4 linked regions of the Struthio camelus genome follow. The protein of the gene in region 1 interacts with the protein of each later gene in a pairwise test. Links are inferred from orthologs where the notes say so. Each region holds a gene or a part of one and is shown in the gene's direction. Other genes may lie near its edges. The genes, in order: TLE5, LMO4, SDCBP and BHLHE40.

Region 1 (7,470 bases):
CCCACCGCACGCAAAGCGCAGCTGAGGGGCTGAACGCATCTCCGCCAGGTCCTGCCGCACCGCTGTGCCATGAGCCGGGCCGGGGGACCCTGCTGCCCCAGGCCCCAGTCCTGCCAAGCCCTCCTGTACGTGGCAGCTTTCAGTGTTGGGGGCCAAGAGCGGTCCTGACGGGTCCTCCACTCAGGGCCTGCATTGCTGCTGCGCCTTTTTTTCTCTCCTTCTTTAATTCCAGGTAACTTATAAGGTATTTTCAAGGTAAGAGAAGGACCTTAGGGCCACGCTTCCTTTGCAGTGACAGCATGACTTTCACCTCGCATCCAGCACATCTGAGAAGCAAGTCTCTCTGCAGCATCTCTCCTTGAACCACGGCTGGAGCGGGATATCATATCTGAATAATTTACAAAGGCTCTTCATTAAACGGATTTATTTTCAGCAGCTTGGTTAGGCTGTTCCCTTCAGGAGCGACGGGGAAGTTGCTCAGCCTGGTTTGGACGTTGTCGCGCAATCGCTCCTGCCGGCCACGCCGGGAACAGCGCAGGGCCCAGGGGGCCCGGCCGGACCCCACTGCTGGCCGAGGGGGGCGGTGTGGGAGGGACCGGCCCCGCAGCCTCCCGGCACTGCCGTCCCCGCAGCAGACAAAAACACCGGGGAGCTGCTGCCGGCTCCCGGAGCGCCCTGGAAAACCTCCGCTCCCGGAGCCCGGGCTGCCGTGGGCTCTGGGAATCCCCCGGCGAGGGCCTGCTTTTGGGCTGCTCGGGGCCAGGCTTTCCCGGGGCCGAGTCCACCCCTGCCGACGTGCGGACCCATCGCTTGGGTGAGATTATAATTCCCCCCTTTGAGATGCAGATTCCTCAGCCTGCTGGTAACGGAGCCTATTAAAATGTCACTTACGAGGCACAAGCAGGTTTGTGTTCCCCTGGATTGAGATTTGCCAAGATTATGCCATAAATTAGCGTGTTTCCTGGAAGAAAGCAAGGAGAGAAAAAACATAAAGTGGAACATTTTGTAGCCAACATAAAAGCCCATAAAGGAACGTTTCATTTTCCTCTTGGAAGGGAGCAACTGCAAGCAGCTCTGAACCCGCCCGGGGTGGACGGGCAGCGGGGCTGCGTGATGGGGACGCAGGGTGGCGGGTCCCGTGGGGACGGCGTGGCTCGGGGGTGCGGGGTGCCCGGTCCCGTCACCCGTCCCCCCCCACGGTCACGGCCCCCGGCCCTTGCCCAGGGCTGGGTCGGAGCCGCTGCCGGGTGCAGGCAGCATCGCAGGGGCAGCGCTGCCATGCTGGAGCAAAGCTTCGCGCTGACGGCCCAGCACCGTGGAAGAGTTCTTCTGCCTCATCTTTTGGGAAGTTTAATCTGCTCTTATAATGATTATTGTTGCTCGTGGAAGTTCGTAAACTGCAGGAGGAGCCTGGTCCCATTTCCATCAAGGACAAACACCTCGCGGCGCTGGCAGCACCATCCCTGGGGAAACATCTGCTCTTTCAGGTTGTTTTGTGGCAGCTTTGCTGCTTTATCTCAGCTGGAAAAAATTCCACTCCTGTTGAAAAAGGAACTGTAAGGTCTGCAGGAGCACTTGCCGCACAGGAAGGAGCAGGGGAGAGGCAAGACGAGGGCTGCGGCTCGCAGCTGGGGGGTGCGTGCGTAGCCCAGGCTGGTCGGGCAGGACAGTGGCCCGGGAGGCCTCACCCTGCCGTGCGTCTCCGCCTGCATCGCTACCAAACCTGCAGCGTCCCGGGGGCGAAAGTGGAGGGAGCAGCCACCTGCGACACGGCACGGCACGGTGCGACACAGCACGGCACGGTGTGACACGGCACGGCACGGTGCGACACGGCACAGCACGGTGTGACACGGCACGGCACGGCACGGTGTGACACGGCACGGCACGGCACGGTGCGACACAGCACGGCACGGTGTGACACGGCACGGCACGGCACGGTGTGACACGGCACGGCACGGTGCGACACGGCACGGCACAGTGTGACACGGCACGGCACGGTGCAACACGGCACGGCACGGCACAGTGCAACGGCACACAGCACGGTGTGGCCCGACACGGCACAGCACCATCCCTCAGCGCCTCCCACGGGCAAACAGTCTGCCAAACGGGAAAAACAGCCCTGCCTCGCAGTGAGGGGCCACCTCCTCCTGCGCGCACGCTCGATGGGTGGCACGGGGTAGCCGACGTCACGGCCCAGGCCTCGGCCCGCCGCGGCGATAGAAGAGGTCTGCTCTTCCGAACTTGCAGCCCACGGGAGCAGCAAGGAGGGCCTGCGCCAAAGGGGGTTTATTAAAGGGAGCAAGTTAGAACAAGATGGGAGCCGCGCCGCCCCGGCTGCCGACGCGCGGTTTGGACCACGGCGCTTGCACGCTGCACGGCCTCTTGGCGCTTAACTTACTCGCCGACGCGGTAGCTATAAAACAGCCGAGGGGAAGCAGGGCTCCGTCGAGGGGCCGCCGCGGCCCCGGCCGAGCCCCCGCGCGGCGCCCCGGCTTCGCAGGGGGCCGGGACCCCCGCTTCGCCGCCCCCGGGCTGCGGAGGCGCCGGGCCCGCCTGCGCCGCTGACAGTCCTCGGCGCGGAGCTGTCACCGCTGCCTCCAGCACGGAGACGGCGAAGGAAAAAAGCCACCGCGCCGCACGCAGGAGGTGTCACAATAACTCGGCTGCTATATTGTTCTCTTTAAAAATAAACACCGCCACAGCCCAGCCCGCGTCGCTGGAGTCATGACGTCCGGGCTTTTATTTTTAATCAGAAAGCGTGCTGATTTTTAAAGCTAGAGGCAGAGCAGCCTCTGAAGGTGGCGAGAGCTCCCCGCGCGCTCCGGCACACGAGCTCCCTCCTGCCCGCGGCCGCCGGTGGGTCCCGGCCCCGGTCCCGGCCCCGGCGCGCCGAGCAGGACGGAGCCGGGGGAACCGCCGGCAGCACCCGCGGCGGCGCCGGCTCGGCCGTGAAGCCTCGGCACGCGGCGAGCTCGGCCGGACCGGAGCCCTCGGAGCGCTCGCGCCGGCGGGCTGCACCCTGGCCGGCCCCGGCAGGAGGCACGGCCGAAAGAAAGCAAAAGGAAAACCCTGCGCAAACAAGCCCTGCTCTCCCACTCGGAGGGCGCGAACGCGGGCCAGGCGCGATGGTGCCGCCCCAGGCCCGCGGCTGGGACCGGCGCGAAGCCGAGGCGGCTGCAGGGCCTCCTCCCTCCGGCGCCCGTTTCCCCGCGCGACCGGGGAGCCGCGAGAACCGGCGCTGCTGCGCGGGCTGGGGCCCTTCCGGCCCAGGCGCTGCAGGAGGCGGGAAGTTTTGGTGCGCAGCAAAAGCTGGCGCTGCCCCGAGCACCCACACCGGCTGGCGGGACCCCAGCCCTGGCGGGACCCCCAGCTCCAGGGGACCCCAGTGCCAGCGGGACCCCCAGCTCCAGGGGACCCCAGTGCCAGTGGGACCCCCACCCCAGCAGGACCCCCAGCCCCAGTGGACCCCCAACTCCAGGGGACCCCAGCCCCAGTGGGACCCCAGCCCTGGAGGAGACCCCAGCCCCAGCGGGACCCCAGCCCCAGCAGGACCCCCAGCCCCAGGGGACCCCCAGCTCCAGGGGACCCCAGTGCCAGTGGGACCCCCACCCCAGCAGGACCCCCACCCCAGCAGGACCCCCAGCCCCAGGGGACCCCCAGCTCCAGGGGACCCCAGCCCCAGTGGGACCCCCACCCCAGCAGGACCCCCAGCCCCAGTGGACCCCCAGCTCCAGGGGACCCCAGCCCCAGCGGGACCCCAGCCCCAGCAGGACCCCCAGCCCCAGTGGACCCCCAGCTCCAGGGGACCCCAGTGCCAGCGGGACCCCCACCCCAGCAGGACCCCCAGCCCCAGCGGGACCCCCAGCCCCAGGGGATCCCAGCCCCGGGGCAGAGCCGGGCACCGCCAGCGGCCTCCGCGGGGCCTGGAGCTCGGGGCCGCCAAGGCCGGCGCCGCTCCCACGTGCCCTGCTCGGGGCTCGGGGCTGCCGGGGCCGGGGCTGAGGCCGGGGCCGGGCAGGGCAGGGCCGGGGCCGGGGCCGGGGCTGAGGCCGGGGCCGGGGCTCGGGGCTGCTGGGGCTCGGGCTGGGGCTTGGGGCTGCCAGGGCCGGGCAGGGCCGGGGCCGGGGCTCGGGGCTGCAGGGGCGGGGGCCGCCGGGGCCGGGGCCGGGGCCGGGGCTCGGGGCTGCTGGGGCCGGCGCGGCGGGGGCGGGCGCGGCGGGGGCGGGGGCGGCTCTGGGCCCGCCCGGCCCGGGGAGGCGGCGGCGGCGGCAGGTGGTGCCGAGCAGCCGCAGGACGGAGCCGGAGCCGGAGCCGGAGCCGGAGCAGCAGCCGCCATTAGACAATAGGCGCCGGCGGCGGGAGCGGCGCGGGCGAGCGGGCGGCCGGGGCGGGGCGGCCGCGGGGGCGGGGCGGCCGGGCCCGGCGCGGACAAAGGCGGCGGCGGCGGCCCAGGCCCAGGGCGCCGCGGCGGCGGCGGCAGCGGGCGGGCGGGCGGCGGCGGCGGCGGCGGCGGCAGCAGCAGCGGGCCGCTCCGTGCGGGGCCGAGCCGCAGCCTGACATGATGTTTCCACAAAGCCGGCACTCGGTACGGCGGGGCCGGGCCCGGCCGGGGGGTCTGGGGGGTCTGGGGGCGGCGCAGGGCCCGTGAAGGACGGCGGGGGGCCGGGGGTGGTGGGGGGGCTGGGGGCCGAGGGGCAGAGCTGTTGTGAGGGGGGGCTGGGGGTCCGGGGGGTGCTGGGGTCCGGGGGGGGCAGAGCTGCTGGGGGGTGCTGGGGTCCGGGGGGGGCAGAGCTGCCGGGGGGTGCTGGGGGTCCGGGGGGTGCTGGGGGTCCGGGGGGTGCTGGGGTCTGGGGGGTGCTGGGGTCCGGGGGGGGCAGAGCTGCTGGGGGGTGCTGGGGGTCCGGGGGTGCTGGGGTCCGGGGGGGGGCAGAGCTGCTGGGGGGTGCTGGGGGTCCGGGGGGTGCTGGGGGTCCGGGGGGTGCTGGGGGTCCGGGGGGGCAGAGCTGTTGTGAGGGGTGCTGGAGGTCCGGGGGGTGCTGGGGTCCGGGGGGTGCTGGGGTCCGGGGGGTGCTGGGGTCCGGGGGGTGCTGGGGGTCCGGGGGGGCAGAGCTGCCGGGGGGTGCTGGAGGTCCGGGGGGTGCTGGGGTCCGGGGGGGGGCAGAGCTGCTGGGGGGTGCTGGGGGTCCGGGGGGGCAGAGCTGCCGGGGGGGGGGGGGGCTGGGGGTCCGAGGGGACGGTGGAGCCCCGAGGGCGGTTCTGGCGAGCCGGGGCGCGGGCCAGGGCGCCCCGGGGGTGACGCGCGCCGTGTCCCAGCGGCTGCCTCTGCGCCTCCATGTTCTGGCGGAGCGGCTGCAGCGCTCCCGGCCCCGGCATCCCGCGCTCGCTCGGGGGCTCTTGCTGCAACGTCTCTCCCCCCCGCGGTGCTGGCAGGAGCCCTCGTTGCCTCCCGATCTGACTGGCTGACTGCCTCCTCGCCGCAGCGAGGAGCGAGCGGGAGGCTTTGCGGGGGGTCTCCTCCCCCTTCCCGAGCCCTGGCCCCCCATCCCTCCGCCAGGGCGTTCCGCACAGTCCTGGCTCCCGTTCGCGCGTGGGGTGTTTGTTGTTTGCAGAGATGCCCTGGTTACTGTCTCTGTGCAGTTGTTAAGGAAGGCGGCGGGTGGCTTTGTGGTTAGAGCCCTGGGACTTGTTCCCAGCTGAGGGAGAGGACAGCTTGGGGGGATGAGATGCGAGCAAGAGATGTGGGTCCCAGCCCCAGGAGGAGCTTCCTCCCGCTTCCGTTTCCCTGTCTGTAGTGCAAGGTGACTGTGGAGATAAAACCTGGAAAAGGGACCCTGGCCAAACTTCTGCGTCCGAGTTCCCACAGGTGACCTTGGGCATGTCCCCCTGGCCTGACCATGCTGTTTCCCCAGGAGGGCCCTTGGGGGTGTCACCTCCTTCTCTGTCTCCTCGTGGCAGCTTCCGTCCTGCTTTTAAAATGATCTGTGCTCCTGGTTAGATGTACCGCTGAAAAAGCAAATCTGTGCTTTAGTGTCTGTGGGATGCGTGGTGGGATCAGGCCAGCACAGGCACCTCTAGGTAGCTGAGAAGGAAACTGTGCTCGTGGGAAGGAGCATGTGTTGGCTTCCCTTCCCACCCCTGCATTTGCTCAGTGCCCAGCGCTCTTTCATGTGTTGTTCAAGGGCTCCTCTCACCTGCCACAACAGCTGAAGTTCACAACCTCTGACTCCTGCGACCGGATCAAAGATGAGTTCCAGCTCCTGCAGGCCCAGTATCACAGGTGGGTGCTCCTGTGTGTCACAGGTCCCAGTGTCCTCCACACTTTTGTCTTGGGACAGGGAACTCTGAGCATTGCTCTCCATAGAGCTAAGAACCATTAGAAGCGCCCACGGGTGCCTGTACCCTGGGTAGTGCCGTCCTGGGCGCTGGTTGGTGGGATATACCCTGCAGGAACTTGATGACCTGTGTCAGGTCATCAAGGACCCCCCTCCCCTCACCTTCTGGGGGGACTTTCTCCACAAGAGAGGAGGAGCTTGCTGCGCCCATCCTGGGCTCCCCAGGGACAACTGCACTGAGTGCTCAGCAGATTTACTGCTGGGCTGACAAGCAGTGGCAAGACGTAGAAGAATCACTTTGATTCTTCTGCTCCATTGCCTTGCAGTGTGGACCGAACTGGAACACTAAGGGAGGGACTTGATCGTACAGCTCGGGTCATGTTTGTCTAAAATGGGACCTCAGGGAAGGGATTAATCATGTCCGCTTAGGAGCCTAGAGAGGAGAATGTTCAATCTTCCCTCTCCAGCCAAGGACTTCCCTCTGTGTGTTGCTCAGCCAGGACTGCACAGAGGCTTGCCAGGCCTCCCATGTCTTGCTGGGAGTTTCTCCTCGGTTCTTCTCGCTGGCTGCCATTCTTGGATTACAAATGCTGCAGGGAGCACTTAAATCCAAATGCTTCCGCTTTTGTGCATGTGAGAGTGGAAATACTTCTGCTGACCTGAAAGTTGGCTTGTGATGGTTTGTTGCTTTTTGTGTGTGTGTTTATTTAAGAAACACAAAACTCTGAGCTTAAATCAACTCAGTGATGCCCTCTGTCATGGTCTAGCAGGCCTCTAGACCTGGTTGTAGCATGTGCCTCTGTGGCCACGGTGCTATGGCAGTTTGTGTAGCCCTGCTGTGCCTTTATGTACCTTTCACCTTGGCCTGGGCTCTGCCAGACAACTGGGTCATAGGTTTGTAGTCATGTCATTCTGGCAGAAGGCAATCAGAGTAACAGCTTAGAAATGGCTATTTCCTGGATTCCCTCCGCCTCTGAGCAGTGCCAGTGATGGAACAGGAAGCCTCAAGAAATATGTCCACTGGAAGGGAGGCTTTCCCCCCCGCCACCGCACTTGGACGTAATCTGCTAGAAGAGAAACAGGTTTTGTGTAGGTGAAGCTGTTTCTTGTTTGAAACATAAAACCACAGCGCATGCAG
Region 2 (7,149 bases), on another chromosome or scaffold:
TCCTTCCTAACTACCTTCCATGGAACTGGATTCTTGTAAATAATGTTACTCATGTGTTTACTAGCAAGTCAAAATTTATACATATTTTTCTAAAAGTGAGTTATCTTGCTGTTTGGGGTGAAAAGTACTGTCTGCTGTTTGAAAAAGAATGCTGAGAGTCAAGCCATGCAGAATTCTTCACAACTTGCAGGGGATGTGCACTTTCCCATATCATTAGATAGCCCACTTGAATACTTAGTCACATTTGTAATTTGTTTAAGATCCTAAAACAGAAGATCTTATGCTAGCAAAAGGGTGTGTTATTTTAAAATAACAAGTGGCTGTTGATTTTTCATCACTGCTTCCAAAGAGACTAGAGGGTTTGCGTTAAAAGTTGAAATGGTTGTTCAAAAGGTAGAGTTTGGAAGACACAGACTAGCAAAGTGCAACATGGAAGCTCTCCCAACACAGTGGCAGCCTCAACATTTCTAACGAGAAAAGGAAAAGACAGTTGAGATCCCATAGGAATGCAGTATTTGGGGAGAGAACTAAGACTCCTTTCACGAATGGAGAGAGAACCCCAGTGAATTCTGGACTATCAGCTATCTTAGTGGCATGTGGAGGTTTAAGAACGATTTGGATCACAAGCTGAAACGTTTTCCAGACCTTCAGATTGCAACTTTCTACTAAGCCAGCAATTTTATGCTTTCCTCTCCCTGACTCCAACAGTACCACAATATAAGCAGCCAGATTTTCTTCTGCATTGTGTTTTTTATCCATTCAGCCAAAATTAACAGTCTTTGAGGATGAAGTATGCCAAGTGAATTTGAATCTTGCGGACTAAAATACACCTAAAGTTGATGGATACATTCGTGCCTACTGCTGAAATCTACCAATTACTCAGAACTACGTTAACTTACCATAGAAACATCTCATCTAATAGCACAGATGATGTTGAACTAACTAATTACATTATGGCACATAGACAATGAAAAACATAACGAAGATGACAGCACAGCAACAGCAGATGCTGCACAAAAGAAAAATTAGAAAAATATTGCTCTGCAAAATGCTCTCAGTTAAGGTTCCCTCTGTTAAAATTAATCACAAAAATTAGTGAAGATTAGATTTCAGAAAAAGATATGAACATTATAATGGTATTTGGAAAATGTCATTAAGCCATTTAAAACTCTGCTCCTTCAGAAGAGGTAATTCCCATTTTTCTTATCACTATCAGTTGCAAGACTAGTAAACATTGTAGTGCCTATGGCGCAGTTTCTTGGTAGAGTATCTCTTCCAATAAGAAGAGCTCCTGAAGGTTCTTCCAGAGCCTGAATTTGGTAGCTTCCAGCCATTATAGCCTTAAATAATTAGACAGCTTAGACTTTGTTTTAGCTTGGCGTTTGCTCTATTCTTGTGCTCTTAGCTGTCAGAGAGCTAGAATAACAGTGATAGTTGATTATCCGTAGCACGTCTTGTTACTTTATATATTTTAAATTGTAACAGATCCTAAATGACAAATCTGAAACTGCTGAATATGTTTAAATGTAATATGTATCTGGAGATTACATCCAGATGACATATTGCATAGACATATGATAAAAAAAAATGCACCACTTACTTTTAACCACAGTGCTGGTCCTCTTCCCCCTTCCCTCGTGGAAGCTTGCCATGCGCTCCCTGTCTACTTTATGTATAGATTCTTCAGATAGCCCTGTCTATGGAGAAAGAAATGGTGTATTCCCCTATATTTAAATCATACCTATAGTGCTACTCAAATTTTAATATTTTATTGGATATATAATAAAAACAGAGTACATCTATGATGTCCTACGTTTTCCCAGGTACATTTTTCCCAGCTGGACATATTTTAAATAAATTTTATCTGGTTACTGGGCACTCTTCTCCTCAGTCCCCTGCAGGCCAGGGATGCAGAAATAAAGGAGACCCACAGGTGGCGCTGTGGTTAAAGTACACCTGGATTTTGATTACAGAGACAAGATTTAGTAGTCGGGCTGTCAGAGGGAAGTTGGTCTGCTTCTTAGTACAAACGCATATATTTGTAAATAAATTTCCCTGGCTAGAATTTCAGATACTTGTGCCGGCACATCGCTTCTACACTAGACTGTAAGAGGAGCAGGTTTAAAATATTTTGTTGCCTTCAGCAATCGAGAGGCAGCGCACCCACACAAACTCGTAATTTAGTGACGCTGCAGCCATAAAACGGGTAGTTGACAACAGCAGTTAACTGCACCAGGCGAGCCGTGCAGCGACCCGTCCCCATTTAGGATGACCCTGTCCCGTCGGGCACGGCCGCGTTAGTCCCTGGGAACACGCTGCAGCCGCCTGCCCCCTCCTGCAGTCACAGTGAAGTCCGACTGTTCTCCCTGCGTTGGCTGCTCCTTACGTCAGCGGTCTGGAATCAAGAAACTAACATCACCAAGTTTTGTGTTGTTTAACGGATCCTGGAAATGTGTAATTTAACTGACTCTTTAGCTGCAGTTAGCTCTGCGAGACCCGCTGGCGCGTGCTGCGCGGCGGAGGCAGGCCTGCGCGCGGTAGCAGGCCGTGCCCGGCGGGGGCCCGTCCTTGCAGCGGTCCGGTCCGGCCCAGCCCGGCGGCCTGCAGGACCTGGCGAGCACCGGCCAACCGCCCTCTCGTTGCAGATACTTCCATTGTTTCCAGCGGGCTAGGGGTTGTTACAGGGTGCTGGGTTTTGCTTATCGTGTGGGCTCTGCTTAGGCCTCAGAAACGTGCGAGTAATATATATATATATCTACATGTTTTTCCACTGTGTCACTACCGAGTATTACTTCTGGTTTGCTATCACGCTTTGGCTTCTTTTCCAGAAATGCAGTTGTCTTTCCGAATGACAAGCAGCGCTGCCAACTGCCAGCCAATTGCAGCGGTTTAACCCTTTTAAATCTTTTATAGGGTACTAATAATAGCGGGGTATATACTGACACTCATTTTTAAGCACAACTCCCCGCTGGTTTCAGCGAGTGGATTTTCAAACGTCAGCGGCTTGACCAGGCCCATTTTACCCGAAACACGAGCTGGACGCTCCCCTCCCTCCCTCCCTCCCTCCCGGCCGGCCGCCTGCCCGTCTCCGAGGCCGGGGCCCGGGCGCGGGCCTGCGCGGGGGCGCGCCTCCGCCACCGGCTCCAGCGGCCACCGCCACCTCCGCCGCCGCCCGGGAGCCGGCCGAGGCACGGGCAGCCGCCACGGCCCCTCGCCTGCAAGTTTCTCAAGTGGTGGCCGGGAGCGGGTCGGGCGGCGGCGAGCGGCGCCCTAACGGCCGCCCAGCAGCGCCCTAACGGCCGCCCAACGGCCGCGGGCGCCGCTCCCCACAGCCCGCCCGGGCGGCGGCGGCGGCCACCGCTTCCCACCTGACTCCCTCCTTCCTCTCCATTCCCCTCCTCCTCTGCCCCCTCCTCCCCACCCTCCGCTCTTTTTTTTTTTCCTCCTCTTTCAGTCATTCCTTTGTCTTCCCCGGGATTGGCAGGTTTTATTATTCCGCCTGAACAAGCCGGGGGCGGATTGGCTGCGGCGGGCTGACGCTGGGAGCCGAGCTGGAGTGTAGTTGGGATTCTGCTCTGTCAGTAACACATGTGTGAGGGGCAGCGGGCAGAGCGAGCGCGGGGCGGCGCGGCGCGCAGGCCCGCACGGACACACTCGCGCACTCACACACACACACACACACACACGCTCACTCACTCACGCACGCACGCACGCACGCGCGCACCGCGGCCTCCTCCTGAGTCCTGCCAGCGCCGCCGCCGCCACAGGATCGCCGGCAGCAGCAGCTCCCGCCCGGCCCCTCTCAAACTCGCCGCTCGCCCTCTCCTCCGGGGCGCGTCGGCGGGCCGCGGCCGGCCGGTTCCTCGCTGCGGGAGGCTCGGGAGCCGCCGGCGCCCAGAGGAGGGGGCGGAGGTGGTGGGGGGGGCGGGGGGGAGGCGATACAAAGTGAAGCCACATTGCCAAACTTACCCGGCGATTGCAGCAGCGAGCGGCGGCGGCGCCCTGCGTGTGCAGCTCGGCGGCGGGGACTGAGCTCTGCAGCTCCCCTCCGGGAAGTGCGAGCTGGAGGAAGGACCCAGGCAGACGCCGCTCGTAGCAGTATCTATATTTTTCCAGCCTGGGCTGCCACTTGCCGGGCTGGGGGCCCCCTCCAGCGCTCCCGGAGCCCGCTGAGAGCGCGAGCGGCGGGTTTGTCTCGTGGCACGGAAACCTCCTGGGTGACCCCGAGCGGCGTTGCTCCCCGGCCTTTTGCAATATAGAGGGGAAGCAGGTAAGGAGTGCTGGCGATTACTGGCGGTATTATCGCAGCGTGCGCGGCCCCGTCCCGCGCTGCGCGGAGCGGCGCGGCGCGGCGTTGCGCGGGGGGAGCCGCGGGCATTGTCGCCGGCCCCGCGTACAAAGCCTGGCGGCGGCTCGGGCTGCTGCCCCTGTCCGCAGCCGCGGAGGGGAGCGGGCTCTGCCGGCCGCGGTTGTGCGCGGAGGGGAAGGGGCGGGGGGAGCGCCGGGCGCCCGCTTCGCCCGTAGTAAACACTGTGCTGAAACAGTGGCAGAAAAGATCAAAGTGAGCTCTCTATTTCTCCCCTCTCCCGTTCCCTTCCTGCCCCCCGCACGGTCTTTTGTTTCAATCCAGGAGAAATCCGGTGAATCACCTAATTAAAACCAAGACGTGAATTAAGCATCCATTTTTGTACTACAAATTGCCAGCTCTCCGCTTGTCCCTCCCTTGGTCTCCATTAAAAAAGCACCAGAGACGCTGTTAAAAGGGGGGGTTATTTTGCCTCTAGCTTCGAGCTCTGCTTTCTATTTCACCGACTCCTATCCCAGGACCTAAATTGCTTGGCTGTGTAATTACTAGAGTAAGCCTATTTAAGTTAAAAGCTTTTTTCCCCCCAACTCTAAATGAAACTTGATGAGGGCCCGTCCTTAGTTATCAAGGGAGTCACTTTCTGGTCAGTCCTCTTGATTCATCTTTTTAGATTTAATCAGCATTAAGGTATTGCTTGTCCTTAAGAGCTTTAGCTTAATGGGGTTACGGGATGGTTTTCTCGGTGTAACGTTTCCCATTTTATATATATTTGCCTTCGACAAAGACGGGGTGATGTGGTAGCATGGAGTCTTTTTCTTTCTTTTAAGAAATCCGGAGTGATTTAAAGCGTAGGGAAACGGTTTAAAGACTCAGAGCAGGAAATGCAGATTCATTTAGGCTGTAGCTGGAAACTGTAACAAAAGGCAATTCCTTGAACAAATGCATCAGAAATCAATTTACATAAAGGTATATGATGCGTTCGGATAAATGCAATGCTAATGGCTTTTAGAGTGGTTTTCTTTCCAAAGTCTCGGGGTTTTTGTTACAGCTTAATTGGTGCAGTTCTGCTGGTTTATTGTGCGGTCACTGGACGTACCTTCAGGAACTCTTTCTGAGGAAATGTGTGTTTAAAATCGGCCTGAGTTCTCGCTCTGCTGGAGCCGAGTTGGGCCGGTGGCAGGAAAGTTCGCCTCGCTGCTCCGGAGGTATCAGCCCGAGCGTCCTCCGCAGCCAGCCGGATGCCTCGGTATGAGCACACACGGCTTACAAAGGACAAAGACAAAACATGCTGCTTAATTGGCAGTAAATAACTTGATCTTTTTATAGTATAAGTGACTGGAGGAACACCAGGAGTTTATTGGACTCTGGATTGAAGGCAACAAATTAATCGGTTTAGAGTAAGCTTTATGAATTGATTCCTATATTATCTCCGAGTTGTCCTGCTTGCATCAAGCATTTATTAGAAAGTGAAAAATGCCCTTACTAGCAGTTTTGGAGGCAGCCAGACTAACTGCAGCCTGAGCGGTGCACTTCATTATCCTGCTGCTTTCCTATGGTCACTAAACTTTTTTTTTTTTTGAGTAACAAAGCTTTAGCGTTTAAATTGCTGATCAAGGGCAGATTAGCGAGACAAAAGTTGAGTATGTTTGTATAGGAAGTTAACAGGCGTCCTAAAGTTCAATGATCTGTTATTCGGGCCAGCGTCCTCGGTCTGGAGTGTTTTCTCTGGGTGTTTTCTGTATCTCAAAAAAAAAAAAAAAAAACCCCAAAACCCCAAACCTCGACGTCTGGACAGCCGGTTCCGAGCCCCTCGTTACCCCGCCTGGAGAGTCTCTCCTAGACTGAAAAACCAGTTTCACAACTTTTTTTTTTTCTTTCCCCCCCCCGCCCCTCACATACTTTTTTTTTTTTTTTTTCTCTGAGCAAAACAAAACCCGGGACTGTTCCTAACTCGCCGAGTGCAGCTGCGGAGGCAGCAGCGCGGAGCGGGGCCGCGCCGCCCCGCGAGGTGCCGAGGCGCGGCGCCCCCCGCCCCGCCGCCGCCGGCCGCCGCCGCCCTGACCCGCCTCCCTCCCGCGCCTCTCCCGCAGGCCATGGTGAACCCCGGCGGCAGCTCGCAGCCGCCCCCGGTGACGGCGGGCTCCCTCTCGTGGAAGAGGTGCGCCGGCTGCGGGGGGAAGATCGCCGACCGCTTCCTGCTCTACGCCATGGACAGCTACTGGCACAGCCGCTGCCTCAAGTGCTCCTGCTGCCAGGCCCAGCTCGGGGACATCGGCACGTCCTGCTACACCAAGAGCGGCATGATCCTCTGCAGAAACGACTACATCAGGTGAGCGCGGGCGGGGGGGGGGGGGCGTCCGGGCAGGCAGCCGGGCAAAGCTTCCCCCCCCCCCCCCCGCCTCGTGGCTTCCGTGGAGGCAGGAGGCAGCCGGGCCAGTGGCGGCGGCGCGGGGCAGCAGCGTGCCCGGGTCCGGGTCGGCCCTGCCCGGGCAGCGGGGGCCGCGCCAGCCCGGGGAGCCCCGTTCGCTCCTCGCCCCGGGCGCAGTTGTGGCTGCCAAGCGGAGGGAAGGAGGGGGGGCAGGCGGAACGACGACTGTAACTTTAAAGTGGTTTGTCAGCACAAAACAAGTCCTAACTAAAAATAAACAGCAATCAGAGAGGCTAAATTAATCTGCTTTGTTGTAGTGTTGAAGGAGAAGCGTGCATATCTGAACGGTAAATGTTAAAATCGTAGGGCTTAAATAAGGCTGTGGCAGAGGTGCTACATAATGAAATGCCTGCCTTTAGTATCTGATTAATTATGATATTTACATAAGCACCTTTAAACTCCTTTGAGTGGAAAC
Region 3 (7,293 bases), on another chromosome or scaffold:
AGAGAGGAATGTCATGTTGCTTAAGTGCTGGAAAGCCAGTCTGCAGAATCCGATGCTTTTCGCACCTCTGCCGCAGGGTTCCTGCGTAATGACAAGTCCTTCAGCCAGACTCTTCACAAGCCACCACTGTGCTTTCTCGTTTTTCCGTTGCCCCATAGAGGCCCTGGAGTCTAATTTGCAGAAGTGTTCGGCACAGAAGTGTTCAATCATAACTGTGATTGAAGTCAGTAAGGTGCTGATTTAACAAATACTGTTCGACAATTCTCACAAAAAGTTTGTAGAACTGAAAGCTCGAAAAGATGCATTAAGAGCATATTCAAGTTAAATGCCTTAATATTAATATTAATATTTTGGGAAATATGTTTATATTAATAATATGTTTAATATTTTATATTAAATATTGTTATAATATTAATATTTTGGGAAATATGTTAATATTTTGGGAAACACAGTAGAAAAAATATTAATAATTGCTTGCACAGCAGTCAGACATTGGAGTGTTACTCAGAAGACTGTGACAACATTAATATTGCCATCTTTACAGCGGAGTTTGAATAGCAGGCAGGAAATCAGGTACGGAACTGCAAATTGAACACTGGAAAATTGTACATTCACTGAGCACCATCCATTCCACGGGCTGATGAGAAGAGAGTGGAAATAATATGTTCTACTGTATTAAAAAGACTAGATCTTTGACGCATGAACAGGGAGTCAGAAACAAAGTGACTCAGGCAATTTTAATTCTGTTAGTTTCTAATGTTAAATGTTTGACTTGGGTGAAGCTCTTTTAACGTAATTTATTCTGTATGACAGGTTTTTTTTCGCTCTGGAATTCTTTTTTCTACGCGCAAACTCCAAAAATTCTTCACAAATTCTAGAAGTGTCTCAGTGCCCAGTGCAATGCAGCACCAGGGAGCTACTTAAAAGGGCTCAGAGCTGCTTTGTTCGAGAAACACAAACAGTACGTTAGGATTTTCTTTGCACACAGCTGAGAGCAGGATCAGTTAACTCACTCCAACACACTCTAATTAGAGGCAAAGAACCTCTTTAATACAGTTATTCCACTCCTAGTACTGCCAGGGTGCTCTCTTGCACAGTTTGTACATGTTTTGAGTGACCATTTATAACATCTCATTGTTGCAGGGGTGGAGAGCTTCCTAAGGAACACAAGCACAATTTACTTCCAGCTTCAAAGGAGAAATGTGAATTTTGGAGTGATTAGCATGTATTATTTTATTAAGAGTTTTGCAGCTGCTAACACTGATACTGATCTGGTGGTTTCTATTATTTTTTGAAAGTTGGCATACGACTAGTAAAAAAAATAACAGCATACTGACAATTGGAAAATTACCACGTAATTGCCCATGGGTGTTCTAATGTCAGTGAGTAAAATCTGATAACTTTGCCATTTGTTCCACTTCTCTCAAACAATAGGTAATCTTGGAATGCTTTCTGCAAATACTTCAGGAACTAATCGAGAGCTGCTTGTGTAAGTGTTTTAGCTCCGATTCTTTAGAGCTCCCCAATCGCCACAGAGTTCATAGAAAGGCACAACCACGCCCTTCTGCTGCCAACGTCTTAATTCTGGAGCACGAAAGTGTTTTCTTTGTCCCAGATTTTGAGTTCACCTCACAAAGAGATTGAGGAACATGCCATCCCCTTCCGTGTCTCAGCTTCCCTGGGAAGGAAACTCAGACTTTTTGGACAGTGGGACCCTTTGGTCTCTGCATTCAAAGAATCAAGACCCTGACACATGTCAAATGGTGCATTCGCTGCACAGATTAGACAGAGCCTTTTCCTAATAATTATATTTGTGTTTTGCTGTGTTTCATTTCTATATTTAAATGAACAATGATTTTAAGAATGTTTTTCAGTATAACAAGGTTAATCTTTCTCAGTTCAAAACTGTAGTAGTCTCTATTCAAGACTGTAGTAGTCTTAAGCAAGGCTGCATCTTCATAGCATTCTTCTTTAAAACCTTGAGTAAGTTGGGTTTCACGATATGTTCGGAGATGAAGGTAATGAAATTCACTTCCATTACCATACGGAGCTACTGGCCTGTGATCGGTCTTTGCTTATTTTTATATTGTGTGTTTTTAATAGTGCACACAAACTAAGCCCAACAAATAACAGACTGTATGGAGTCCAGTGTTTCGGCTAGAACCTCATTATAAATAAAATATAAATGTTATATATATTTATTCTTATATATATTTATTCATAAATATATTTGAGATATAGATAATATGTTATATAAAATTACATAGAATATATATTATATATATTATAAATAAATAAACATATAAACATAAAATATATATAAAAGCATGTTCTATTACAGCCTCTTGGGTAAAATCAAGACATGTGCATTGACAACGCAGGTCTGACATCTACAGACAAATGCTGCTACCTTGATAGTGAATGTCTCAAAAGATCATGACAAGGGATAAAGTAATGCAGCAAAAGGCAAATAAAAACCTAGCTTTCTGGAGAAAGGAGCAGTGCCTCTGGAACAAGAAGGGCATTCGAAGTCAAAATGAAATAAGATGTTGCCCCTCAGCTGTCAGCACCAATGTTCAGCAGGGTTGCGCCATGTGGACAATGCACAGTCGTGTTAAGTGCTTCAGTCAATCACACGTCTGCTATTTCCATGCTTTACGGACACTACCATGCTCTTGATGACCACCACTACCCAGGCTGGGCACAGGGCTTCACCCCCACCGAGCTCACCGTGGGATGAAAAGCTACACTCTCATTCTGAGCATACACACTTTTAAGTCTTTCATTTATATTAAAAATCATTTTTGACTACAGAGAAAATTTAGCACTACAAAAGCAATAATTATCTGTCCCTATTAAGCCAGAGCTAGATTCCCTCCCTCTCTCTCTCCCTGCCCAAAAGGTACCTAACAGAATTTTTGTGAACTCATACTGTAGGCCCGAAATTGCACTTATAAATATATCTAGTGATCTGTAGTTGCATGACTCAGTAGTCAAAGGTTAAGGTACTTAGGAAGGTGGCAGACCTGGCTAATAATTCGATATAAAACCAGAAACCTTCTGAGTGGTTGGACAGAGGCTGTATCTCCAAATTCAGCGCTGCTGTGACTGCTGCCAGAACACGATGCAGCCCTGTGATGCTCACCAAAGATGCTGACAACGGGAGAGATCCAAAAAGCTTAGGAGGGCTGAAAAATATGTATTATAACAAAATCTGTTTAAATACAGTTGTAATTTCCTAGGCAGTGGAAAATGACGTAACAGCTTGCTGCTGTTTAAAAGAGAGGGACCTTCCCTTTCCTTCCTCTTCCTCCTCTTTTCTCCTGTTTCCAGCAACACCCTCCCTTCCCCTGCCCTGGCACCAGAGCTTGTGGGATCCTTTCGTTGCCAGCTTAGCTCACTAGCCCAGAGGAAAAACATTCACGTCTTTCGGGGATTCAATTTCTGCTGCATCAGTGAGTTGAACTGCCCTGCAAAAGCACTGGGCAGTGGTTGGAAGTGGCTCGGGGTCAGTTGGGAGCTGCAGGACAGGGGAAAGAGCCTGGAAGCCAGAGCAAGAGCTGCTTCCTCAGGGCCAGCGTACGGTCCGACCAGCTCCCCGAACCCTGCCGTTTCCTACCCCAGGGGAAACTCTGGGGTGATCAGAATAGTTCCCGCCATGCGGAACAAACTTTTTGACCACAGGTAGTCTTGCAAAGAAGGATCTAGAAGACTGCCAATTGATGCTGGAGAAGTTAACGCTACAAATAAGGTAAAAGCGCAATAACTACAGTAGTCAAGTATAAGAGCCACTCTCCTAGTTTGTAGTGGAATTTTCCTGTAACTAGTGTATTTTAAATCGTGATTTCTCTAGGGTGTTCCCCTAAGAGACGTGCCTTGTCTCCCGGTCGGAGAAGGCCGAGGTAGGGTGCTAAGCCGCACCTGAGGCGACGAGAGCGCAGGGCCCTCTGCACCGCTGAAAGCTGTAAATATACAAAGAGGAGGAAAAAAAGTAAAAAAAAAAAAAAAAGCAAGGACTAACCCCAAACAATCAGTAATGATATAAAGCATATAGAATACATTTTATTTAAAAAAAAAGGGGGGGGGGGGAATTGATAGGAAAGGCGGCAGCCCGAGCCCGTCTCTCGGGGCAGCCCCGCAGTCCAGCCGCGACCCGGCCGCCCTGACCCGCGTCAGCGTCAGCGGCCGCTGCCCCCCGGCTCCGCCCGGCCCGGCCCGGCCGCCCGCTGCCCCCGGGCTCCGCCCGGCCCCGCCCTGCCGCCGTGTCATGGGCTCCCGCCGCCGGAGCATGCGCGGTGCCGGCCCAGTTTTTCCACCGCCCCCTCGCCCCTCATAGCGGCGACGCCGGGATCTGCTGCTCTTGCCACCGCCGCCGCTCTCCCTCCGTGCGTTGAGGTCCCTCCGCGAACGGCCTGGGTTGAGGTAAGAGGAGGGGGCTGTCGGCCTGCGACCGCCACCGGACTTCTTCCCCCTCTCCCCACCCCGGTTGCCCTGTGTGTGCGGGGCCCGGGGCGGCGCCGTTTCGCCTCGGCTCGGCCCGGCCGGCCGCGGGGGCGGGTGGGGGCTCGCGGCGGCGGCGGCAGCAGCGCTAACGGCTCCCGCCGGAGGCGAAGCGGCGCCGCCGGCACCATGGCGACGCCGTGGAGGGGCTGGGCGGGGGGCAGCGCGGCCGCCTCGGACCACCGGCGCCGCCGGGGAGAGTCGGCTCTGCCGAGAGCCGAGAAGCGATTTCGTTTTTCCGCCTGTGGAAGCGGCGCGTCCCTTCCCCTCTCCCCTCCCCTCGCCACCTCAGCGGCGGGGCGCCGCCGCACCGCCATGTCGCGCCGCGGCCGGGGCGGCCTCCGCCGCGGCCCGGCTCGGAGGGAGCCGCCGCCGCCTGTTGCTGCGCCGCCGCCGCGTTAGAAGCGCCCCCGCTCGTCCTGCCGGCGCTGAAAGCCAAGAGCGAACCGGCTGCGTGTGTGCTGGCCCGCTCTGGCTTCGGGCGGCCTGTGAATCAGGCTCCAGGGGTGGTTTTGATTCTTTGTTACGAGCCAGGCTCGTTTTTGGGGGGTGGTTTCTGGCTCCTCGTTCAGGCTCCTTGTAAGACCTTTCTCTCTCCGCTAGCTCCAGTGCGTTCGTGGGAAGGTTTGTAGGTGCTTGTAACGCCTTCTTTTTAGACCGATTTAGTATTGTTTTGGGGGTGGAATGGATGTCTTTCTGGGGAGCCTTTCTTCGGGTTGGAAGTGGAGGCAGCAGATTTTGGGGCTAAGTGCAAAATGAGAGCCACTGCTCTAAAGCTAATCAGACATGTATCAGAAGGGGGGGAAAAACAAACAAACCTCGGTTGTTCGTGGAGAACATGTCTTGCAAGACAATCTGCCCTATTCCTGATGTACTCTGCCTGACCTTCAGGCTGTTTTGTCCTGTCTCTCCTTTAAAGATGAATTTATAGTTCATTGGTTTCTAGCTATTCTGGAAGTCAAAGCCAGTGCTTAATAGAGGTACCAGTTTTACAGCCTGCAGTAATTTCTCCATATACCATAGTCATAAAACACATAAAATGCCTCCTTCTCCCCGTGGGCCCCCCCCCCCCCCTTTCCCCCAAGTCCTGCTGGCTGCTGCTCCTTTCAGAGATGGCAGTTGCTACATGCTGGTCAGCCTCAAAGTTCGGTTCTTAAACTGCATTTAGCTTTGTCATTTCAGACCTGGAAAATGCGTCTGAAAGCCTGTCTGCTTCCAGCTATGCCACTTTGTTGTGTTAGAGATTACTTCTGCCTCTAAAACTTCCTGCTGATAGCGTAAGGATATCACGAGTGCTGTATTTCCATGGGTTCCTCAGGCCGGTGATTGGTTACTCTCCTTTAGTAAATAAGACCTACTTAGTCAGAAGTGCTTACTGCTGCGTAGCAGCATTTCCAAGCCAAAGATGCACAGAAAAGTGGAGAAGGCTTTGCGGAAGAGTTTTGTGGGATTGCTAGCTGAATTAAGACTCCATCCTTTCTGCTCCACTCTTTTCTGTTTTCACTTCTGCTTTTCTACGCTTTCTAGGTTACTACGTGTGTTCTTTACAAGATTTAGGAGTGTATGAATGATCAAAGCAAATGATTCTATAGATCAAGGCAAATAACTGTAGATTTTTGAGAGGAAAGGAAGCTAATGACTCCTTTTTTGTGGTAGCTCCCTTTGCTAGCTTCTGTCTAAGGCTGTTTCAGGGTCTGTTTAAACTCTTATTTATACTGTGGATAACATGAGGTACAAGTCATAGACAGATTGTTCCCAAGATTACTGGTGGTCTCTTATGGTGAAAATGGCTATCAAATGGTTACATTCTAAACTAAATACACTGTTTTTTGTCGTCTTAAATACGTATGTGACCTGTAATTAGCTAAAGGAAGTTAAGTGTTAAAACTGCTGGTGCAGAAATGGAAAATACTCCTTTTTGACATAAAAGCAACAAAGATACATACTCACTAAATGTAATTACAGTGGTGACAGTTATTCTAGCTATTTATTTAGAAACTCACTTATAGTAACCATTAAGATTATAGCCAGGAAGCTAAGAGCAGCTCCTCAGTAATGTTGACGAATGCTTGTATTTTGCGAACTTCCAGCAGAGGAGACAAGGTGGCCTATATGACTGTAAAACAGCAGGATAAACTCCTGGAATATTTTCTTAAATGATCAGAGAACAAATGCAGGTTTAGCTTTGGTAGTGCTCTCCTACAGGAAGTACCACGCTCCTCTTGGTAAATTAGAAAAAGATATGGCCCTCTGTGACAAACATGACCAGGAATCGCAGTGTGGAGTGAAAGTGGCACGTGGAGGAAAAATTAAAGCTGATGGAGGAGGAGATGTAACTAGATTGTGGAAACTGGGACCACAACTCAACAGACCTTGTGCTGTTCTCTGCCTAGCATATGAAGTCGTTAGCTCACTCTGAGCAGAACTCTTTCCCTTCCCTTCCCTCATCACCCTAAAGCAGGGTGACTTTGCCATCCGTGGGGAGCAAGCCTTCGCAGTGCCAGGGACTATGCTAATTTTGAAAGACTGTGTCAGTGCTTGAACCTGTAGTTTAAATTTGCTAGCACAGATGTAGCTTAGAAGTAATTGTGTGTCTGGTGTTGTGGATGGTTTTAGAGATAGCGGCAGCAGAATGCCAAGTCTGGAGGACTGCTTACCCGAGTGACGGTTTCATTGGACTTGGGCTTGCACTTGCTGTTATCTGTTTTGGATGAGTCAAAACAAGTGACCGTTTCATGTCAACGCTGGCTTAAAACAGAATTAAAAAAAAAAAAAAAACAAAACCAAAAAACA
Region 4 (7,920 bases), on another chromosome or scaffold:
AATTCAAGCTTTTGCAATTACCTGCAGGCTACCAGAAGAACAAGGCAGAGCCCTGCTGGATGACAAACTCTTCCTCATACCCCGTGCGAAGGATTTGGGGATCCTCCGCCAGGCTGGTGAGCGCGGGTTCTCATGGGCTTGCCTTTACCAATAAGGCTGAGAAATGATATGCCTAGGGCCTTCAGTAAGCTGCTGATCTTGAGCGCTCCTGAAACCTGGCTCAAAAATTGCTACGCTGAGCAAGAAGTCTAACGACCGCCCAGCCCAGGCCCCGGTAAAACGGCGAGCGTTTGGTGAAGGATGCAATATTGCCTGGCTTCAGCGCTCCTCCCACGGGCTGGAGATCTGCCCGTCTTGGGAAAGACCTGCCACATCTGCTGAGTAAAGGTTGGTAGAAGGCTATACCTAGCTGCTCCACGCGGCTGCCTTACAGACTGCTTGGCTCCCCCGTGAACTTCTACTTCTGCAGAAAGTAATGGGTGTTAACTAGAAAGCCCTTGGAGGACGCCCGTCAGATGCGGAGGGCTAACCACTTCCATGCAGCTCCTCCTGCTCGGCATAACCTTAGCTTCCAACCTTGGCTTGTGGTCCAAGACATGGCTGTTCTTTAACCTCCGGTGCCAGTAACCTGACACGAGATTGCTGGAAATGAGAGAGAAGGAGAGTCAGCTATTTGATTACAGGCCACAGGCACATGCCTGGCCTTCATGGATATATTAAGTAAGAGACATTTTAAAACAAAACCACCCTCAGTAACCTTATCGTAAGCTTGAATCCACAACCCATCTGTTAACTCCCAGCGCTGCCCACATAGGCTCCGATCAGACATCAGCGCCAGTGATTTTCAGAACGTTTCACCCCAAATTGCCACCCTCGTGGCTGGAAGGGGACAAGCCCTCAGGAAGAAACACGTCCAGGGACTCAATCCCTTTCGCCAGCCTTCAGCACACCTTCAAAAACAAACTGCAAACCCTTGCCTTTTAACGTATCTGTAAATAACTACAAATCCCTGTTGGACGCAAGCTGCTGCTATCCTGTGACACTCGGCCGTTCTGAAACGAGCGCTCGAAAGGCCAGTTTCTCCCTTAATGGCTTTAGAAAATTAAGCCTTTTTAAACGTTTTGCTGTTGCCTCAATCATACGTTGTAAAAGAACCTTCCACGCAGAAATAAATCAGCAACAACAACAACAAAAAAAAAATCGAGATGGCAAACTGATGATTGCATCAGCCTTAGCTTATGAAAACTGATCCTCAGGAAAATGTAATTCAACTCTCCAGCAATCTAACTTGATGCCCAAGAATGTAATAACTTCATTTGGATCCTCTTTTTAGGGGGACTCCTAAATCCTTGGCAACTTCCCTTAAGGTCATGAGTAAATCCTGATATGGAGAATTGTTTGGCAAGCACGAGAACAGTAAAAGGGCTAAATAATTGGGGATTACCTCTGACCCTGATTTGTAGCTCACCACCCACTGCAGGAATGTACCGAATATCTGAAAGAGCATGCAAGAGTCAAACAATTCATGGGCATGAAATTGTCCACGTACACTCTGAGTTTAAACTTAAAATGCAGAGCAGGTTGGCCCCAAACCTCATTTTTCATTAGCAATCAGCTGCAGCAAGCTCTAATTATGTCTGTTGCCTTAGACAGAGGGTCAGTGATGGCACAGACTGAAAAGCGTATGTGATTCTCCCCCTTTGTTTGGCAGATCACACCTGAGATCTTCAGAGCAAAAAGAGAGTTAACCATCTGATTCACTCCCCGTTATTTATGCCGGTTCTGTTCGCTTTCACCTCATCTGCAAGGACAAAGACATCGCTTTCATTTTTGTGGCGATGATTACCAAATTTATTAAGCACCCGCATGAACGACAATCTCTGCTTTGAGAAGTTTACAGGCCGGAGGTCTGATCCTACCCCTGTGTACGCGCGATGCTTAATTGTCAACACCTACGTCCTCTCCGATGAGCTGGAATCGTCTCGCTCGTGGGCAGGGTCTGCAGCATCACGGCAGACCCTCAAAGCGCCTGAGCTGGCCCTGCTGATAAATGTCACGTTTGCAGACCTGGGCCGCAAAATACAGAGAAGACCATACTGACTGGGACAGGCCTATTGCCCGGCACAACCTAAGCATCTTTTTTTTCGGAAGCTCTGGGTCGTTAATGCAGTGGTGTATCGTTTGTGCTGGAGATGCACTTGGCTCTTGTAAGGAATTGTTTGGCTTTTTGTTTTTTTTTACAGAGCTTATAGTCAAGGCTAGCAGATTGCTGCAGGGCTCTGATTTCTCCTAGGATTTCTCCTGGTAATAACACGCATCCTCAAACGACGGTGTGCCTTAAAGCGGGTGCCCCCGTCTCTCGCGTAAGACCTCTTTAGGCCCCAACGTGATCCCTGCGGCCCGCAGGTTCCTCCCTGCAGGGAGCGTGCAGAACCCCCCGGGGAGGCAGCGACGGCTCTGCCCTCCGCTCCCGTTGCCTTCTCTAGGTAAATGCGCCTTTTATCGGGTGAACTTGCCTCTACTTGTTCCGCACGCAGCAGGGTAAATGACCAGCACCCTTCCGGAGGAAAGGCACGCTCCGGCGGGCACGCACCGCCGCAGTCCTACGCGGCGTCTGCCAGCAGCTGGCATCCAAGGATCCCGGCTGCTCCGCCGGAGACTGAAACCTCCGAAGCGTCTGAGACGGGCAAGAAATAGCACCTCCCTCTAACCGTTCCCTAGCAGGCCTGGACTCCCAGTCGCTTCGCCCTGGGTTTCCCTAGTTCAGAGGCTGCGTTTAATATGGGTATCAGCTTATGTGTTTCTTTGTTGTTGTTGTTGTTTTTCCTTAATCTGTATACGGATATTGGTATGAAAGAGCAGCCTTTAACACCGCAGCTGTGCCGATAAAACGTTCACCTGCACACCCTGCGCCCAAGGCACAGGCGCAAGGTGGAGGCCGCGCTCCTGTAGCGCGGAGGGATAACGAGCAGGGCAGCACGCAGAGATCGCATGCGGTGCGGCACGCAGGGATAGTGCCCAGGGCGGTGTGCAGGGCAGCGTGCAGGGGCAGCGTGCAGGGGCAGCGTGCAGGGACAGTGTGCAGGGCGACGTGCAGGGACAGCGTGCAGGGACAGCGTGCAGGGCAGCGTGCAGGGACAGTGTGCAGGGACAGCGTGCAGGGCGGTGTGCAGGGGCAGCGTGCAGGGACAGTGTGCAGGGCAGCGTGCAGGGGCAGCGTGCAGGGCAGCACGCAGGGACAGCGTGCAGGGACAGCGTGCAGGGGCAGCGTGCAGGGACAGCGTGCAGGGGCAGCGTGCAGGGCAGCGTGCAGGGCAGCGTGCAGGGCAGCACGCAGGGACAGCGTGCAGGGACAGCGTGCAGGGCAGCGTGCAGGGCAGCACGCAGGGACAGCGTGCAGGGACAGCGTGCAGGGGCAGCGCACAGGGACAGCGTGCAGGGCAGCGTGCAGGGACAGTGTGCAGGGACAGCGTGCAGGGCAGCGTGCAGGGACAACGTGCAGGGCAGCGTGCAGGGACAGTGTGCAGGGACAGCGTGCAGGGCAGCGTGCAGGGGCAGCGTGCAGGGCAGCGCGCAGGGCAGCGTGCAGGGACAGTGTGCAGGGACAGCGTGCAGGGCAGCGCGCAGGGCGACGTGCAGGGACAGTGTGAAGGGCAGCGTGCAGGGCGACGTGCAGGGACAGCGTGCAGGGCAGCGTGCAGGGACAGTGTGCAGGGACAGCGTGCAGGGCAGCATGCAGGGCAGCACGCAGGGCGACGTGCAGGGACAGCGTGCAGGGACAGCGTGCAGGGACAGCGTGCAGGGACAGCGCGCAGGGGCAGCGTGCAGGGACAGCGTGCAGGGACAGCGCGCAGGGACAGCGTGCAGGGACAGCGTGCAGGGCAGCGCGCAGGGACAGCGTGCAGGGCAGCGTGCAGGGCAGCGTGCAGGGACAGCGTGCAGGGCGACATGCAGGGCGGCATGCAGGGACAGTGCAGGGGCAGCGTGCAGGGCAGCGTGCAGGGCGACGTGCAGGGACAGTGTGAAGGGACAGCGTGCAGGGCAGTGTGCAGGGACAGCGCGCAGGGACAGCGTGCAGGGCAGCGCGCAGGGTGACGTGCAGGGACAGTGTGCAGGGACAGCGTGCAGGGCAGCGTGCAGGGCAGGGCAGCGCACAGGCATAGTGCGTGGTGTGCTGTGCAGGGCAGCGTGCAGGGATCACATGTGCTGTGGAGTGCAGGGACAGTGCCCAAGGCAGCATGCAAGGACAGCGTGCGGGGCAGCATGCGGGGACAGTGAGCAGTGCAGGGTGCAGGGCAGCGTGCAGAGATCACATGTGGTGCGGCGTGCAGGCGTAGTGCCCAGGGCAGCAGGCAGGGACAGTGTATGGTGTGCTGTGCAAGGAGAGTGCCCAGGGCAGCGTGCAGGGACAGCGTGCAGGGCAGCACGCAGGGATCACATGTGGTGCGGCGTGCAGGGACAGTGCCCAGGGTGGCGTGCAGGGGCAGGGTCCAGGGCAGCGCGCAGGGACAGCGCGCAGCGCAGGCTGCAGGGACAACGCGCGGGCTGCAGCGCGGGCTGCAGGGAGAGGGCGCAGGCTGCAGCGCGGGGCCGCCCGTGCGCAGCTCGGAGGCCGGCGGAGCGGGGCCGCCCCCGGGCACGGCGGGCGGCGGCTGCGCTCCCCAGCGCGGCGCGTTCCCACGCGGCGCCGCCGTCACGTTGCGCGGGGCGGCGCGGAGCGGAGAAAGGGGGGGGGGGGGAGACGAGCCGCCACGTGAGACTCATGTGACCGGAGGGAGGGAGGGAAGGAAAGGGGGGGGGGGGGAGAGAGGCGGCCCCGCCGCCGCCACCGCCGCCGCCCGCAGCGCCCGGGCCGCGCCCGCCGCCGCCCGCCCGCACTTAACCCAGCCCGCCGCGCCCCGCCGCGCTCAGCCGCGCGCAGCCCGCGCGCCATGAGCCGCCGCCGCGCCGCCGCCTGAGCGCGCAGCCCCGCGCAGCCCCGCGCAGCCATGGAGCGGCTGCCCGGCGCCCCGCCGCCGCCGCCGCTGTGCCTGGGCAAGCTGCCCGCCCTGGAGGGCACCGACGGGCCGGGGTGAGCGCCGGGGGGGCTGCGCCGCGCTGCGCGGGGGGCTGCGCCGCGCTGCGCCCTGCGCCGCTCTAACCCGCCCGCTTTTCCCTCCGCTCGTGCAGGCTGGACTTCGCCCACATGTACCAAGTGTACAAGCCGCGGAGGGGGCTGAAGAGGAGCGACGACAGTAAGGTGAAGGGGGGGGGGACCCCGACCGGGGTTTGGGGGGGCGCAGCTCGTCCTTTCCCGATTTTCGGCAGCGGTTTGCCCGAAAACTTTCTGCGCGCCCCGGGGGCGCTGCCTGCCCCGCGCCCTTGCGCCCCGCTTGTAGCCACCCTGCCGCACCCCCCCCCCACCCCCCAAAAATGCTGCCGAAGCCCCCTGGCCTGGCGGCGGGGTCTCTCGGCGGCGCGCTGCCCCCGCCCCAGCCCCCTCTGCCTCCCCCCCAGGAGACCTACAAGCTGCCGCACAGGCTCATCGAGAAGAAGAGGCGCGACCGCATCAACGAGTGCATCGCCCAGCTGAAGGACCTCCTGCCCGAGCATCTCAAACTCACCGTAAGTGGGGGGGGGGGGGCGCCCCGCCGCCCCGTCCCCCCGCCAGGGCTCTGCCACCACCGCCCTCCCAGGGGTCCCCCAGGCCTTGGCGCTCTCTCTGAGCGGGTTTTCCCTTGCCACCCCACGGAAAGGCTGGGGGGGGGTTCACCCGCCTCCGCGACCCCGGGCGCCGCTGGCTTTGTTGGCGGTCCCGGAGGAGAGCCGGGCTCCCCTCGGCTCTCGGGCCCGCTCCGGGCTGCCTTCCCCTGCGCTAAGGTCACGATACCAGCAGGGGCAGCAGAACAGATCAATAAAATACTTCTCTGTGAGCTATGCGGTCGGTCCGAAAATAACCGTGAGACACGACGGTAGCCTTTTCTGCGGCCTGCTTTCGAGTTCGTTTATTTGCAGGTTCGAGAAAGATAGGTTTTCGGGCGAAGCAGGGCCCCCCCCTCCCCGCCCCGGGCGACGGCGCTGCCCCGCCAGCCTTGCCTCCCGGCGCCGTCCGCCCCTGCCCGTCGCTCTGAAAACGCTGGAAGCCCTTTTGGGCTCCCCGCGGTCGGAGGCGGCCGGCGCCGACCCGTCCCTTTGGCTTGCAGACTCTGGGGCACCTGGAGAAGGCGGTGGTTCTGGAGCTTACCTTGAAGCACGTGAAGGCGCTGACCAACCTCATTGAGCAGCAGCAGCAGAAGATAATTGCCCTGCAGAACGGCTTACAAGCCGGTGAGTGTTCAAAGCCCAGCGAGCGAGAACCTGCCTGCGCGCCCTGGACTCTCTTTCCCAGCCCGCGCCGTGCCCTGGTGGCACTTGGTCCCAGGGCAGGGAGGAGGAGGAAGGAGTTCTTTCTTTTAATCGCCTTCCTCTTCCCTCACTCTGCTCATGAGTCCTCAGGAGAAAGACGCTTTTCGTTTCTTAGTTCGGTCAGTTCAGAGCGCGCTGAGAGTTTTGTTTTAAAATTCATTTGAACGTTACTAGTTTTATTTAAAGCTCGGTTTTGCTTAAGGTTCTCTCCGAAGGCATCCGAGCCTTTCTATTGGTGTTTAGGAGCTTTGGACCAAATCCGTTTTTTTTTTTCCCTCCTCAAAAATATGAAAGCATCTGCCTTTTTTTGCACACACCTTTTTTTTTTTTTTTTAGGCTTCTTTCTAAACTGATCAGCCCGTGTTGCTGTCGGCTAAGAGGGGGCCAGGTCTAGCGGCTTATTGTGCTTTAAATGTACTTCCTTCTCCTGTTTTCACACGTGGCACTCACGTGAATCTGATAAAGTAAAATTTAGCTGTTCTAAAGAGATTTCCACTGCTTTAATAGCCACGGGGTGTGCGATCGAGCTTTAAGCCAAGGTCCTATAGCTGAAGCAAAACGGCCCTCGGTTCCTGGAGCTGAAGGAGGGTGAGCTTGCTGCAAGCGCTCCCTTCCTGGTGGGAAGGAAGCGGGTTGCAAACTGGCTTTCAAACCGCTTCTTCCCTGCGGAGGTACCAGGTTGATTCACTGCTGTTTCTCCATACCTGCACCCGTGTTACAGTTGCCACGTACAGGAGACCTAGAAATAAAAAACAAATTTGAAATTCACATCCAAAAGTGGACGGGTGGATGTAAGAAGAAACAACGTATGCCTGTACAGAAATCAGGGGAGCGCGTGTAAAACACGGTTTGACCCTCAGGTTCGCCTGTTCAGCTGTTTTGTAGCAGCGGAGGTGAAGCCCTTCTCTCCAGGGTGCCTCGAAGATGGGAATGGACCTATTTAGCACGTTGTTAATTTTTAATTTCTTTCTGCTAACGTTTCCTCAGGTGACCTGTCATCAAGAAACCTCGATTCCAGCCAGGAAATGTTTCGATCCGGTTTCCAGATGTGCGCCAAGGAGATGCTGCAATACCTGGCAAAGCACGAGAACGGCAAGGACCTGAAGTCTTCTCAGCTGGTCGGCCATCTGCACCGAATGGCCTCCGAGGTGCTCCAGGGCGGAGCCGGCCGAAAAGCCGCAGACATCCCTCCGAAAACAGTGGACTCGAAGGAGAAGTCTGGCTCCTTGACCAGAGCGGCCGAGGGACATGGCAAAAACTGCGTGCCGGTGATACAGAGGACATTCGCTCCTTCCAGCGGCGAGCAGAGCGGCAGCGACACCGACACAGACAGCGGCTATGGGGGAGAGCTGGAGAAAAGTGACTCCAAATCCGAGCAGCAGTATTTTAAAAAGGATACGGAACTCAAATATACTGTCCAGGAGAGAATAAGCTCTATTAAGCAAGAGACTGAGGACCCACCAGCCAAAAGGACCAGGATGGAAACTTCCGAAGACGAAGGCCCTTTTAGCAGTGACGTGATGGGCTCTGCAAGTA

What was found.
Region 2: the proteins of TLE5 (region 1) and LMO4 interact in binary tests that used the Homo sapiens proteins (3 or more experiments, as listed by UniProt). The two-hybrid records come from large-scale screens. The link is inferred for Struthio camelus from reciprocal best matches to the Homo sapiens genes TLE5 and LMO4.
Region 3: the proteins of TLE5 (region 1) and SDCBP interact in binary tests that used the Homo sapiens proteins (3 or more experiments, as listed by UniProt). The two-hybrid records come from large-scale screens. The link is inferred for Struthio camelus from reciprocal best matches to the Homo sapiens genes TLE5 and SDCBP.
Region 4: the proteins of TLE5 (region 1) and BHLHE40 interact in binary tests that used the Homo sapiens proteins (3 or more experiments, as listed by UniProt). The two-hybrid records come from large-scale screens. The link is inferred for Struthio camelus from reciprocal best matches to the Homo sapiens genes TLE5 and BHLHE40.

What each region holds. Positions count from the first base shown.
Region 1 is NC_090967.1:7,814,054-7,821,523, reverse strand, and holds the start of TLE5 (TLE family member 5), read left to right. Parts: upstream 1-4,456; 5' UTR 4,457-4,558; coding exon 4,559-4,585; intron 4,586-6,179; coding exon 6,180-6,277; intron 6,278-7,470. UniProt on the Homo sapiens protein: Transcriptional corepressor. Acts as a dominant repressor towards other family members. Inhibits NF-kappa-B-regulated gene expression. May be required for the initiation and maintenance of the differentiated state.
Region 2 is NC_090949.1:20,631,984-20,639,132, reverse strand, and holds the start of LMO4 (LIM domain transcription factor LMO4), read left to right. Parts: upstream 1-4,136; 5' UTR 4,137-4,270; exon of another isoform or gene 4,271-4,444; intron 4,445-6,396; 5' UTR 6,397-6,399; coding exon 6,400-6,635; intron 6,636-7,149. UniProt on the Homo sapiens protein: Transcription cofactor. Plays a role in establishing motor neuron identity, in concert with MNX1, acting, at least in part, to disrupt LDB1-LHX3 complexes thereby negatively modulating interneuron genes in motor neurons.
Region 3 is NC_090943.1:135,811,707-135,818,999, reverse strand, and holds the start of SDCBP (syntenin-1), read left to right. Parts: upstream 1-4,283; 5' UTR 4,284-4,422; intron 4,423-5,101; exon of another isoform or gene 5,102-5,124; intron 5,125-7,293. UniProt on the Homo sapiens protein: Multifunctional adapter protein involved in diverse array of functions including trafficking of transmembrane proteins, neuro and immunomodulation, exosome biogenesis, and tumorigenesis.
Region 4 is NC_090955.1:2,511,276-2,519,195, reverse strand, and holds the start of BHLHE40 (class E basic helix-loop-helix protein 40), read left to right. Parts: upstream 1-4,905; 5' UTR 4,906-4,988; coding exon 4,989-5,071; intron 5,072-5,169; coding exon 5,170-5,239; intron 5,240-5,496; coding exon 5,497-5,604; intron 5,605-6,182; coding exon 6,183-6,306; intron 6,307-7,371; coding exon 7,372-7,920. UniProt on the Homo sapiens protein: Transcriptional repressor involved in the regulation of the circadian rhythm by negatively regulating the activity of the clock genes and clock-controlled genes.